Linked DNA regions of Notamacropus eugenii. The protein of the gene in region 1 interacts with the protein of each later gene in a pairwise test. Links are inferred from orthologs where the notes say so. Each region holds a gene or a part of one and is shown in the gene's direction. Other genes may lie near its edges.

Region 1 (7,380 bases):
ATATGAACAGGCAGTTTGCAGGTGAAGAAATTAAAGCTATCTATTGTCACAGGGAAAAATGCTCTAAATCACTATTGATTAGAGAGATGCAAATTAAAACTCTGTCGTACCACTTCACTCCTAGAAGACTGACTAATATGACAGAAAAAGGAAAATGATGGGTGTTGGAGAAGATGTAGGAAAATTGGAACACTAATATATTGTTAGTGGAGCTGTGAACTGATACACTCATTCTGGAGAACAATTTGAAAATATGACCAAAGTGCTATAAAACTGTTCATACCCTTTGATCCAGCAATACCACTACTAGGCTTGTATCCCAAACAGATCATAAAAAAGGGAAAAGGACCCACATGTACAAAAATATTAATAGCAGCTCTTTTGCAATGGTAAAAAATTGGAAATTGAGGAGATGTCCATCAAGTGAGGAACGGCTGAACAAGCTGTGGTATATGAATGTAATGGAATACTATTGTGCTATAAGAAATGATAAGCAGGCAAATTTCAGAAAAACCTGGAAAGACTTACATGAACTGATGCTGAGTAAAGTGAGTGAAATTTTGCTGCTTCAGGTTAAATCCTGTAGGACCACAATTAATATTATTCTGTGTCTGATTCCAGGTATAGTCCTCAAGAAATATCATTGATCAAATGCTCCATAATGTCAGTAGCCCAATGGAAATGACATCTATAAACTGCTACCAATGGATATCTGTCCCTGAACTTGGGGGTGGGGGTAGAGGAAGAGAAGGTAATAGGTAACCCTGGGAAGGCTAAGGTAAGATCCTTTGTACTTAGTTTCCCATACAAGAAATTTTCCTACCTGGTTAATTCTGGACCTGGCTGTGGCACACTGTCTATACAAAAAGTCACCTATATGACTCTTGCTTGGAAGTAACACAGAGCTAGGGGAGCACCTTCCGTTACTATAGCTATGTCCTTTTTTCCTTCTATGGTAAGTTTCTATAATCATGGCAGAAGAGCAGTAAAAGTATAAACATAATACTTATTCTATTATCTATAGACTAATACTGACATCTAAGTCACCGTAATAAAATGCAAGTATATAAGTTCTAAGTTATTCATTCTGAAGTTATAGTCCTTCCCATATCTTAATAACTAAGTTAAAGAGTACTTGGGTTTATCTGTCTGCTAATAGTTATATAATCATGGATCAGGTTAGGTCCCTGAAATAAACTTGCCTACAGAATATTCCCTGAAATGCAAGCAAACTATATAAGAGCTACCTTAAATATGTCTTCATAGTTTTAATGGTAGTTAAGAGCAGTAGTCTATATTCGTGTAATATCTATTTCATTTGAACCATGGTTTTAACCGACCAAATTTTACATAGACAACTCACTTGACATATACTGTACTCTATATACAATTTGGAATTAATTATGTAGCTTGTTTACACATCTCACCCCAGTCGTTTTTATTACAATTGGTGTAAAATAAGTATCTCTTAGGTAAATTCATTTGCATAGCCATTGCATGTAGGCACAGAAGTCATTTACTTTCCAAGAGTGCTGTTCATCCTCTTCAGGAGGAAATTAACCTAAGGAGGGGGGGACTTAATTAGAGAGGAAAATGAGTGGAAATTTTTGAGAGAGCAATGATAGATAGATAGGTAGGTAGATAGATAGGTAAAATAGAAATTATTTCAATGGGCTATACAGGCCTCGAGCACATTCTAATAACAAATTCTAAAAATTGGGTTCAGGATTTTAGATATACAATTATACTGTTCATCTTCTGTACAAACCAAGTAGTTCTGCTCAGTCATTTGAATTTCCTAAACATATCAACATAACAATGTGCTAACTTATATCACAGGGCAGTTATAGATAGTAAAACTGAAGTTTTTCCCTTTGTGAGGATTGAATATGAAGTAAAAAATAAACGAAATGAACTCTAGTCTAAAGAAGTTAAACGGTGGTGGAGTCAACGGCAATTTTAAAAAGCACTCAACCTTAGCTTATATGTCTGCATTGGTGAATATTAAATCTTTAACCAGAAGAGCTTATTTTATAAGCCAGATCCTCACGGATTTCTTTTTAAAACTTTTCCTGCAGTCTGTTGTGGGCAGTATCTATGGGATACAGGGTTTAAATAAAGATAGGAACAGCATGGGATATGTAACAAGTTAAATTAAAAGTAAAATTTCAGAGGCTGTGCTAAACTGTATTGCATCTTGTAACTGGCAGATTTTAGCAGAAACATCTAAGAATCTCTGTGAGTGAATTGAACCAGAGAAGTAGATCTGCTAGGAGAAGCTGCTCTGGAAACAAGCCCATCCCCAGAAAGCCCAAGGTATATTTTCAGAAACCAGGCAATTGCATTCTAGAAGTCATGCCTAAGATAGGATGTGCTGATCAAATGGACATGAGAATGAGTTACTAACCGAGAGACTGAATGTTCACCCTTCCCCCTCATTCCTTCCCCATGTACTGATTTCTCTGTAAGACCTTCTTACAGGAGGGGTCTGTCCCCAAGAGTCTGCCAATTCTTCTCTCTCTCTGTCTCTCTCTCTCCCTCCTCTTTCGCTCTTTCTCTCATTCTCTCTCACTCCTCTTTTTCGCTCTTTCTCCTCTCTCTCACTCTCACTCTCCCTCTCTCTCATACTCTCTCAACTCCTCTTTCTCACTTTCTCCTCTCTCACTCCCTCCCTCTTTCTCTCCTCTTTCACTTTCATTCTCTCTCACTCTTCTTTCTCCCTCTTTCTCCTCTCTCTCCCTCTTTCTTTCTCTCTCCCTCTCTCCTCTCTTTCTCTCCTCTTTCACTCTTTCTCTCATTCTCTCTCACTCCTCTTTCTCGCTTTCTCTCTCTTTCTCCTCTCTCCCTCTTTCTCTCTCTGTCTCTCTCTCCCTCTCTCTCTCCTCTTTTGCTCTTTCTCTCATTCTCTCTCACTCCTCTTTCTCGCTTTCTCTCTTTCTCCTCTCTCCCTCTTTCTTTCTCTCTCCCTCTCTCCTCTCTCTTTCTCTCCTCTTTCACTCTTTCTCTCATTCTCTCTCACTCCTCTTTCTCGCTTTCTCTTTCTCCTCTCTCCCTCTTTCTCTCTCTGTCTCTTTCTCCCTCTCTCTCTCCTCTTTCGCTCTTTCTCTCATTCTCTCTCACTCCTCTTTCTCGCTTTCTCTCTCTCTCTTTCTCCTCTCTCCCTCTTTCTGTCTCTCTCTCCCTCTCTCTCTCCTCTTTTGCTCTTTCTCTCATTCTCTCTCAATCCTCTTTCTCGCTTTCTCTCTCCTCTCTCCCTCTTTCTCTCTCTGTCTCTCTCTCCCTCTCTCTCTCCTCTTTCACTCTTTCATTCTCTCTCACTCTTCTTTCTCCCTCTTTCTCCTCTCTCTCCCTCTTTCTTTCTCTCTCCCTCTCTCCTCTCTCTTTCTCTCCTCTTTCACTCTTTCTCTCATTCTCTCTCACTCCTCTTTCTCGCTTTCTCTCTCTCTTTCTCCTCTCTCCCTCTTTCTCTCTCTGTCTCTCTCTCTCTCCTCTTTCGCTCTTTCTCTCATTCTCTCTCACTCCTCTTTCTCGCTTTCTCTCTCTCTCTTTCTCCTCTCTCCCTCTTTCTCTCTCTGTCTCACTCTCCCTCTCTCTCTCCCCTCTTTCACTCTTTCCCTCATTCTCTCTCACTCCTCTTTCTCACTTTCTCTCTCTCTCTTTTTCCTCTCTCCCTCTTTCTCTCTCTCCCTCTCTCTCTCCTCTTTCGCTCTTTCTCTCATTCTCTCTCACTCCTCTTTCTCGCTTTCTCTCTCTCTCTTTCTTCTCTTTCCCTCTTTCTCTCTCTGTCTCTCTCTCCCTCTCTCTCTCCTCTTTCACTCTTTCCCTCATTCTCTCTCACTCCTCTTTCTCGCTCTTTCTCCTCTCTCCCTTTCTCTCCCCCTCCCTCCCTCCCTCTCTCTATTTGATAGAACACCAAGCCTTCAGAATCTACTGTCCTTAAGTGCCTTCAGGTCTCTTTGAGGCCTGAGGAGTCATTCCTGGGAGTCAGTAGGTCCGGACCATTTATAACTGACATAGTAGCTAGGGATTCCCTGAGAAAACTGTTTCCTCGGTAGACCGGAAGGGGAAATGGGAGAGATAAAAGGGGACATCGCCCCTGACTTCCACTGTATTGGTTTCACGACGTAACTAACCCTGAGTCGTCGGCATCTGCCTGGATCCCCCCTCAATCAAAACCTCAGTCTGGGCTAGTCTGGATCGGCTTACAGCGGCGGTCAGAGCTCACGCTCTCCCGTCCCCTCCTCTCCAATTCCCTCCTGGGAAACACAAGCTCGAGACGTCTGGAGAGCCCTCCATCGGGACCTAAGGAGACGCGCGCCACGCGCCGGCCGCTCCCACCGCCACACCGCCATCCCTTTCCCGCCTGCCCTCGGGGGGCCGCGGCCCAGATACCAGCGCGTGCGCGCGCGCATGCGCGTGCCGGACCGTAACACCCAGGAGAGGGTTCCTTTCCGGCTCCGGAACCCGAGGAGGCTGCACCGAGTTTCCTTCCGGTCCCTTGGTTGCGGGAGCCCAGGCCTGCGCAGTCTGCGCGTCGTTTCCCTTCGGCCGCGGAGGCGGGGCCCCCTGGGAGGCCGGGCCGTTGGACCGGGATGCGGGGCTGACTTGGGATTTGTGTAGACTGGCGGCTGGCCGGCAGGAAGTCATGGCCGGCCTGGAGTTGCTGTACGCCTCGGCAGCGCCGGGGATCACCTGCCCCCAGGACGCGCTTGTCTGCTTTCTGCACTGGGAGCTCATCACCCACGACTACCGAGGCCTGGGCACCGGCGACCAGGTACCGTCCCGGCCCGGAGACCCGCTCCCCCGGGCACCGGGCACATACACGCATTCACGTACCCTGACTCCTTGGTGCGGAGCGGGTGCAGCCTGGTCTGACCCCCCCCCTCCAGACACGCTGCTTACCCGGGACCGAGACCCTCCCCCACAACACCCTGTACCGCTGGGTCCCCGGCACACAGGGCTGCGACGCGCTTACGAACACCCTCCTCCCGGCGCTCCGCGTCTGCCCACAGGCTGCCACACACCAGCCTTCCTCGGGCCCGGGCCTGGGCGCCCCCTGCCCCTCTCCCCCGCCTGCGGGCACCCTCCGCGTGCTCTCCCTCTTGGCTCCCGCTGGCCCCCTCAAGTCTGAGCTGTCTGTAAGAAGCTTTTCCCAAGCCCTTTTTCGTCTCGGGGCTTGCCTTGCGAGACTCCCCAATTTATCCTCTACGTGTGGGGTGTTGTCTCTCCCTCCCTAGACTGAGCTCCTTGTCCCCTTTCTTTGTATTCTTAGGGCTTAGCGCAGTACCTGGCACGTAGTATCTGTTAAACACTAGGTGACTGACTACTTCAGTTAGGAAACTTGTATGGCGGGCCTGCTGCCCTCCCCTTCTCACAGTGAGCAATGCCTGAAACGGCCAGACTGTCCCACACCCAGTGCGCTGCCCCTCCGCACGTTCCCCTAAATCCTCACACACGCTCACATGAAGTGGGAACAGAATCATAGATTTACAGCTGGAAGGAGGTTTAGAGGTGGTCACTTCAAACTCTCATTTAGATGAGGAAGTGGTGGCCCAGCAGTGAAGTGGTTTCAAACCCATGTCCTCCAACTCTAAATCAGCTCTCGTTACACTTTGTCACACCATCTCTTACTGTCTTCCTACTCTTTCCTTACTGGAGACCAGGAAAACACACACACACACAATCCAATACTTCTTCAAAAACACTCATACTTGGTGCCTCTCCACCACCTCTCCATGAGTTCTCCACACAGCCAAACATGTTTTCTCCCTTCCACTATACTTTCTCAATTCCAAATAGTCATTGGCATATACTTAGGGCATGCAGCTTTTTTTTTTTTATTTTGAGTTCCCCTTCACTTTGAGTCCAAGCCAGAGGCTGAGTGACCACCAGTCAAGGGTGCTGGCAAGGGGGATGGAATGATAAAATCCCTACTAGAGTCTCTTCTTACTTTGAGCCAATGATGGCATTCTAAAATCAAATCAAAAGACTTTGGGTTTTTCTACCTAACATCTCTCTTGTGGCCATTCAAGGCCAAAGAAGCTGCTTTTCCTCCTTAAGGAAGTAATATTCTGGTGGCTTCTTGTTTCTATCCCTTTTCTCTCCTATCCCTGATCCTGTTGCCAAATTAGCCCCTATATGATGGATTGAAGGTGCAGAATGAACCATAAATTTTTAGACAAAGCCAGTATGGGAGTGTTGTTCTGAAGAACAGAAGGAAAGTCAGGAGGAAAACAGACAAGACAGATTTGAAAGTTATGTGTTCACTTTATTACAGCTTAAAAGGAAAACAGCCTCTGTATATAATAGAAATTTGCAGTTTTATACATAATCCTATTTTTCTGTTATGTTGTAGAATGGAAATGTTTGTTTTATTTAGTGTTTAAGTTCAGGAAAAAAACAAGTTTAAATCAGTCCCTTTGAGAAGGATCAACATTTGAACTCAAATTAATGGCATGGGTTGTACCTTCTGTTGGTTTGTGTCATGGTTTGATAAAGTCAGGCATATGGCTGGTCTGTTTATCTTTTGAGATTGGTTTAGGGACTTAGGTTAAGCTGACCTTTCATCTTGTTTTTTGTTTTTGTTTTCTGGCTTTTTGGCAAGTGTAAGAGATGAATTTTGGAGTGGTTTGTCCTCCAATCCATATTCCACTTTGCTTGGGGAAGGGCTGACCACAGTTAGCTACTGTTTTAAAAACTCCTAAGTAAACCTTTCCCTTCTCCCTGCCAATAGGTGGAGGGGGTGGAAAAATGAAGGAACCAGAAGATCCCTAATAAATTTTGTTTGGTGGCAACAGTTATTGAATATTATTTGAAAGAAATTATTTAGCAAAAGAACCCTCAAATAAAAATCTACTTTTTCCATTTTGCTTTCCTCACACTTTATTAGCCAGTTAATAATAACTCACATTTCTATGGTTTACAGATGCTGTCCTGACAACAGCTGTAAGGTAAAGAAGTACCAGTAATAGATGAGAAAACTAAGTCTCAAAAAGGGAAATGACATATGTAAGATCAACATAACTAGTAATTACTGAACTAGAACATCTAAATCCAGACCTAATGACTCTTCAGGAGTGGGAAACCTTCAGCCTCGAGGCCACTTTGGGCCTTATAGGTCCGGAAGTGCAGCCCTTTGAATCCAAACTTCACAGAACAAGTGAAGCTTCAAGGCACCCCGATCTAGATTCTACTATATCATGTTGATTGTCACCAGCCAATTTATTAAAATACTACAGTTTTACCAATTGATTTGAAGTGGAAAGCAGGATAATATAGGATTATAGATCTAGACCTGGAAGTGACCTTGAAGATGACCCTCTAATCCAACACCCTCATTTTATAAATGAGGAAACTGAGACCCTGAGAGGTTAAGGGAAT
Region 2 (7,010 bases), on another chromosome or scaffold:
TCCTTCAAGAGACTTCAGAAGGCTCTTGGCCAACTTCTGAAACCCCCATTTTAGCTTGTGGTATTCTTTATAGGCTATTTTAAGTTTGTGTTGGGTTGAATGGTCTTTGAGGCTCTCAAAGACTGTTTTGTCTCCACACAAGCCAGATAATGTCACAAACAGTGGCTCTCAGTCCTCTGAGAAATGCTCTGAAGCCATAAGAAAAAAGCCAGGCCCAAGGCTCATCCAGCCTTCAGGGTTAAGAATGATGCTCTTGTGTGGTGCACAAATCAGGCCTTTCTGAAACTGGAATGAGTGGAGCAGTGATAACACGGAGCATGTGAAGGTTTCCATTTTATTTCTTGAAATAAACTTGGCCTGACTGGGCTGGTCCCCTAGTGCCAAAGTGGAGTGACATGAAATACTTGTAATCCCTCTAATAGTTAACAAGAGGCCTACTTAGCCATAGCCAGCGAAGGATGTTCAGAGTATGGAAGAAGGGATGTTTGTCCAGACAAAGTGTGGACGCCCTTAAGCTGGGGTTCCCAGTCTTGCTCATGCTATGGCCCAAACAAAGCATCTGGGAGTCTCCCAGTTCCCCTTTTTGCACCCCACTTACCAATAGCTTTAACCTCAGTCCCTGGAGCCAGTTTTCAAGGACAGTTTCAGTACCTTTGGCGGAAAAATTATTTCTTTCTGTTCTTCAAAGATGGTGATTTCATTTGTGGGGTGATCTCTTCTCCCACAATCCCCTCTGTGATCCTGTAGATGGCTTTGAAGAATGACTGTGGTCAGAAAACTTATCACTCGGTAAACCAACCTGATGTTTATATGATTCTAGATCCAGAGTAAAAAAAGCCTGCAGAGACCACATCCAACCTCATCATTTTACAGATGAGGAACCTGAGGGAGGTCATAGAATCCTAGATCAACTGGACGGGAACCAGAGGCCATTCCACTGAACCCCCTCATTTTATAGATGAGGAATCCAAGGCTCAGAGGGCTGGAGTGACTTTCCTAGGGTGACATTGTCAGAGAGACTTGAACTCACATCCTATGACCCCAGAGCCAATCTTCTAGGTTGGTACTTGGACAACAGACATGTAATTCATCACTGGGTTTGTACTCAGAATCTTTTCATTTGCTAGAACCTGCCTGTGTTTGTATTCTAGTGGCAGATCCTTCAAGGCCCCAGGGTCATGCCCTTGTCATGATGCAACATTAGGGGAAGATTGTAATTAAGGATAATATATGGGATTATATGACAAGTGAATGGAGAAGCAGTGGGAAATAATGGATAAAGTACTGGCGCTGGAGTCAAGGAAGAGCTGAGTTCAAATTTGACCTCAGACACCAGCTACGTAACCATGGGCAAGTAATTTCTCTGTGCCTTGGTTTCCTCATTTGTAAAATGAGGGAGTTTGATGAGGTGGCCTTTAAGTAAGGTCCAAACAGAGCTATATGAGAAACTCAGAAAGGAAGAGATCACTAAAGATTGGAGGAATCAGTGAAGGCTTTTATAGCAGCAGTGGCTGACTTAGGATTTCAGCAGGCTCAGACATGGACGATGAGAGGCAGCGTGCCCCTGGACAAGATTGGGAATGAGAGGTACTGTGCTCCACAACAACCCTGGGAGGGAGGGGCTGTTATTATCCCCAGTTTACAGTTGGGGAAACTGAGGCAGACAGCAGTTAAATGACTTTTCCAAGGTTACACAACCAGTAAGCGTCTGAGGCTGGATTTGAGCTCAGGTTTTGTTGACGCGAGGCCTGGTGCCTTATTTCCACGCTGGCCACTTCCACACTGGCTACTGTCCAAATTTAGTTCCTCCTTAACTGAAAAATGGGGATAATAGTAGCACTTACTGTCTAGGGTTGTTGGCAGGATCAGATAAGATAATATAGTGTCTGGCCCACAGGACGTGTGATATAAGTAATAATATAAATATTATTACTATTAAGTTTGGTTAATTACTATTATGTTATGCTTTTAATTACCATTACGTTTATTAAATTTATTAATGTAATAATAAAATACAAGTATGCAACATAATACAAATCTATATAATACAGAAACATAAATATAACAGAATAAGGAAATTAATAATATTAACGTAACATATTATTATAGCTCCAAAGTACACTCTCCTCTTGATCCTGCACCTGTGCATTTGTTTCTAAGCGGAAGCAAGGAGGAGAGCACTGGAAAAGTGGACAATGCAGGTATTGCCATCTATAGGTAGAAACTTTATTACAATGGTTTTTACCTTAATCTGGATACAAGACAACATGCAGAGAAATCTTATTACAAAAATTGGATCACCATTCTTAACTTTGCTCCCCCAATTTTTAAACAAAATTATCTTTTTTTCTGAATTTAGCAAATACCCAAAAAGAACACTTTTGCATATGAAGATTTGAGAAAGGATTATATGTGAAAGCTTTTTTTTGCATGTGTAATCATTCCAATATGTTACTTTCAAAACTATCCTACTTTTCTACGTTTCCTTCGGAACTTCCTTCTCCTCTCTTCTGTACATTTTAAAAAACGTTGCAATGACTTTCTTTTTTGGGGGGAGCCCTATCACTAGCTCCCTCAGCTCTCCCCCCAAATAAACACAATCCTTATAATACACACGCATAAACAAAACAAATTCCCACATCCCAACATGGGTTTCATTCTGCATCTTGAGTCTTTCATCCCTTTACAAAGAGATAGTGAAGAGCTTCACCCCAAGCCCCCTGGACACGATCAGAGTCCTCAAGTCTTTCAAACTTGTGACAACAGAGTTGTTATTACAGAAGCTGTTCCACCGATCCTATTCATTCTTCATCATTTCCAGGATGTTTACAAATTTCTCTGAAACCATCCTTTCCATCATCATCTAATCTAGCCCAGTCCTATTCATTGATGTGCCCTATTGATCCAGCCATTTCCCTACTGATGGGCACAGCCTTAGTTTTTGCCAACATGCAAAAGACTGCTATGAACACTTCTGTACGTGCGGGCCCTTTCCCTCTTTCTTCTATTTCTTTGAAATATTCCATATTCCAGTGGGCAGAGGGTATGTGCAGTTTAGGGGCACAGCTCCAAGTTGCTTTCCAGAAGGGCTGGACTCTGGGAACACTGTGTACTCTAAAAAGAGAAAAGTAGGTGTATGGTTTCACATGGAACTTTTTTGGGGGGTCGTCCTGCTATGAGTATAGAAATGCTCTTTTCTGGTGGATAGGCTCAGAATAGAAAAATAAGAAAAAATTCATGTTGATTGATTAAAGTTGGCATGTCTTTTTTCCTCTAGGTTAACCCAGCCCCCACCCCATTTTTGGGGCTCCCTTCAAAAGCACCTTTTTCAAGAGGCCTTTCCTGACCCCCCCATTACAACTGTCCAAAAAGGGAAATGGGTTTTCTTATTAAGTCAGATTTACCGCTGGATGGTGCTAAATTAAAATATGAAACTAAAATTTAATATTAATTTAATAAATTTAATCCAACACCCTGATTTTGCGAAGGAGGAAACTGAAAGCCAGAGGTGAGTGATAAGCCAGCCTTTAGGTAAGTATTTAACGATCGGATCTCGTCTGCTCCTCACAGCCCCCCTGGGGGGAGGTGCTCATGCCCCCTTTTTACATGAGGCTACACGGCTCGTGCAGGGCTGGATTTGAACTCGGGGCTTGGGAGGCGTCAGGGGCGGGATTTGGGAACCTGCCCCCAGCCGGGCGCGGGCTGCATGCCCACGTCTCGGGCACGCCCGCGGGGACTCGGGCTGGGCCACGGGATGCCCAGACTCTGCGCTCACAGCAGCGGTACTCCTGGAGACCGGCCGAGGGAGGCTCGCGCCTGCGCAGTGCCCTCAGGAGACGGCGGAGGTGTAGGGGCCGGTGTCCGGCGCTCCTCCCCCTCCCGCCCGCTCTCGAGGGCGCGCACGCAGCACAGCGGCGTCCCTCGGCCGCGCGCGCGCGCTCTCGGGGCCGCGGCCGCTGCGGCCCCGCCACTCCCCCCCGGCGCCCGGGGTCGGCGGCCCGACAGCAGGGGGCGCCCTCATGGGAGGGGGCGGGGGCGGGGCGGAGCTCCCGTGCCCCGGACCGAGGCGGGCGGTGGACAAGGCGGCTGAGGAGGCGGCGGCGGCAGCGTCCCGGTCCCTATCCTTGTCCTCGGCCCCGCGGCGGCCCGAGGAGCGACAAGGAGCCGCGGCGCCATGAAGCTGCGGGTCCGCGTTCGGAAGCGGACGGAGCCGCTGGAACTGCCAGGCGCCGAACCGACGCTCGGGGAGCTGCGCGCGCACCTGCGCCAGGCCCTGCTCCCCGCCTGGGGCTACAGGTGCTGCCGCCAGCTACCGCCTGGGAGGGAGGGGGAGGGAGGGGCGCATGCGCGGGGCCGCGAGAGAGAGGAAGGGGCGCGTGCGCGGGGCCGCGCGAGAGAGGAAGGGGCGCGTGCGCGGGGCCGCGAGAGAGAGGAAGGGGCGCGTGCGCGGGGCCGCGAGAGAGGAAGGGGTGCATGCGCTTTCCTACCTAGGCGCAGGGGAGAAGGGGGACGTGGTCTGGGAGGCCCTGGGCTCGGGTGCGGATGTACCCCTCCGCCGAATGTACCCCTCCGCCGAATGTGTGCGTGTGAGCGCATTGCACTTGGCATCCGGGGCCTAAGGCTACACTGAGCGTGTGCCCGGGGTTCGCATCCGTGTGGCCCACGTGCGGGTATCTGTGCCCCCCGGGGTGTTGGCGAGCGACCCGCTGTGCGTATCAGTGCGCGTGCGCCCCTCCGGGCACGTGGGGCTCCCCTTCGTACCTCGGGGTCCGAAGGTTGTGTGATGCCGGGGGCCGTAGAGGCAAGCCCGCCGCACGGAGGAGCCTCGGGATGGAGGCCCCGGTGCGGGGCCGGGGTGGCCGAGCGGGCCGGCCAAGAGCCGTGCCCGGGCCCCCTAGTAATGGGAAGGAGCCCCGCGAGGAGTGGCCGGGGTGACGAACTCGTGCAGCCCTGGTCCTGCCGTCTGAGAAGTAAATGAATGGCGAGGGCAGTGCCCGGCCCGGCGAGGGCAGGCGGGAGTGGTAGTTGTGGCCATTGCCGCCGGTGCCCCCAGATGCTCCCGTCCGGACCCCTGCTGAGTTGGGCAGCCCCCCCGGGCCTGAGCTTGTAAACAGACCGGGCGGTTTCACTTTTCTGCCCTCTTCTCGTCCCTGCGAGGAAAAGGAAACTGGAAGCAGAGGCTCCTTCCCGTGTCCCCCTCTGATAAGGGGATGCGCCGAGAAGGCGGTTGAGGCACGTCTGGAGGGTGGGAGGCGGAGGCGGAGGAGGTGCCAGGGCCCTGGTGCTGCCCAGAGATAGCGGCCCCGCCGGGAGCCCGCGGCGGTGCGTGGGACTGCGTGGAACCACGTGGGGACGAGGCTGAGTGGCCGCATGTCCATCTCTTTTATGTTAGGTTTTTGTCGATCCCTTTTTTCACGACCCAGATTCCCCCTCCATCTCTCCCCCAATTCCTTTCCAGAGAGTTACCTCTTGTAACAAAAAGAGGAGAGAAAAAGAGTAAGTAAAGTCAGTATATAGTAAAAAAATGTGACTTGATTGCAGTCCCTGCAAAGGCCTTTGGGATGTAGGAGGGTCTTTAGGCCTTTACGTCCCTTCTGCAGCTTAAATGTCTGTTCTGTTTTTAGTGAACACAATGTTAACAATCCCCGCAAAGACCTTCCACAGCAAAAACAAAAACCTCCTGCCATAGTCGGTGCTTTCCCCTTGGTTACATTACACACATGAGCTGTGCTCCTCCCTTCCCCCACTGCACAAAGTCCCTGAGGGCGGAAAGCCCCTTCACCTGCCTGCTGAGCTGCGCGGACCCCCTGCTGTCCCTGTGAAGGGCCGGGAGGGGGGAGCGCGGTCTGGCCGGGTTCTCTGCTGTGTCACAACATCGCTGCTGCGGTGTGTGCTCTTCTGCACCCCTCTTTTCTGATGAACCGTTCCTCCAAAGGCATCCGTTGATTTGTTGGTTCTTTTGGAGAGGTTTTTCCCTATTCCTGCCAAAGTTGGCACCGTGGTTATTTGAGCAGCTGGCAGGTTTTCTGCATTTTGTTTACAGAAGCATTTTGCAGATAGAAGCAGTCGCTTGTTTTCTGATAACCAGGAGTAATCTCCAGCCATTTAAATTTACAATTTAAAAATATGTATCACTAGCCATACAAATTAGCCCCTGAATCTGCTGAAATAGAAGGAATTTAATAAATAAAAGAAAGATCAAAAGCTAGTTTTCTTAAGCAATTTAGGAAATGAAGTTCTATGAAGAAGGAAAATTCTTTCCGCAGAATCTGACAAATGATGTTTTAAGTCCCCAGTTAACCCTCATAGACGTTGGTTGCCACTTCATCCAAAGGCTCCATAAATGTGCTTAATGGATCGTCTTATAATTTTTAAAAGTTATTGTTTACAACAGTGTTGGTGTTGGTCTTGTCATCTGTGATGGAGCTGTGATTGGGGTTCTTTGACTCTGACAGAGCCTGCTTTTGGGCCCAGAGAGGGCTGCTGGCCCTCTTGTTTAAAGATGATGCTCCTGACTCACCATCTGGGATGCCCGTACTTGGGGCTATTTGTGTAACAGTGGTGATGAATTTGCAGCATTTGCACACTCTCACTAGGCCTCCTTTGTGATTAATGGTGTACACCTGGGAAATAATGCCTGGGTCAGGTTGGAGATGCAGTTGTTCCTGGAGACAGAGGAAAGGAAGCTGCTTTGTGAAGGGATTGAACCCGTGGCCTCAGCTTCTCTAGCGTCATGATTTCACCAGTTATGTGAATCTTCTGAACGTTTCCTGTGGCAGAATCAGAATCACTTTATAACTGTAATGATACAGTTCTAAGTGATACGAGCAAGGCTTCTGTCAGCTCCCAGTCCCTGGGGTTTGCTTTCTGCGGTCATACCACACGTTTGCTGTGATTCTGAATGCATGATTAAAGCTCATGGTATTAACTGTCTCCTTATCCGTTTCATTTTGGCAGTTCTGACGTCCCGTTTTCAGTAACACTGAACAGCAGGGATGCCCTCACTGAAG

What was found.
Region 2: the proteins of PSMF1 (region 1) and FBXO7 interact in binary tests that used the Homo sapiens proteins (3 or more experiments, as listed by UniProt). The link is inferred for Notamacropus eugenii from reciprocal best matches to the Homo sapiens genes PSMF1 and FBXO7.

What each region holds. Positions count from the first base shown.
Region 1 is NC_092872.1:432,792,047-432,799,426, forward strand, and holds the start of PSMF1 (proteasome inhibitor PI31 subunit), read left to right. Parts: upstream 1-4,356; 5' UTR 4,357-4,645; coding exon 4,646-4,774; intron 4,775-7,380. UniProt on the Homo sapiens protein: Plays an important role in control of proteasome function. Inhibits the hydrolysis of protein and peptide substrates by the 20S proteasome. Also inhibits the activation of the proteasome by the proteasome regulatory proteins PA700 and PA28.
Region 2 is NC_092874.1:289,989,652-289,996,661, forward strand, and holds the start of FBXO7 (F-box only protein 7), read left to right. Parts: upstream 1-3,974; 5' UTR 3,975-4,174; coding exon 4,175-4,296; intron 4,297-4,761; coding exon of another isoform or gene 4,762-5,378; exon of another isoform or gene 5,379-5,547; intron 5,548-6,957; coding exon 6,958-7,010. Other genes in the region: uncharacterized protein, read right to left, coding at 2,880-3,114, 4,762-5,378. UniProt on the Homo sapiens protein: Substrate recognition component of a SCF (SKP1-CUL1-F-box protein) E3 ubiquitin-protein ligase complex which mediates the ubiquitination and subsequent proteasomal degradation of target proteins and plays a role in several biological processes such as cell cycle, cell proliferation, or maintenance of chromosome stability.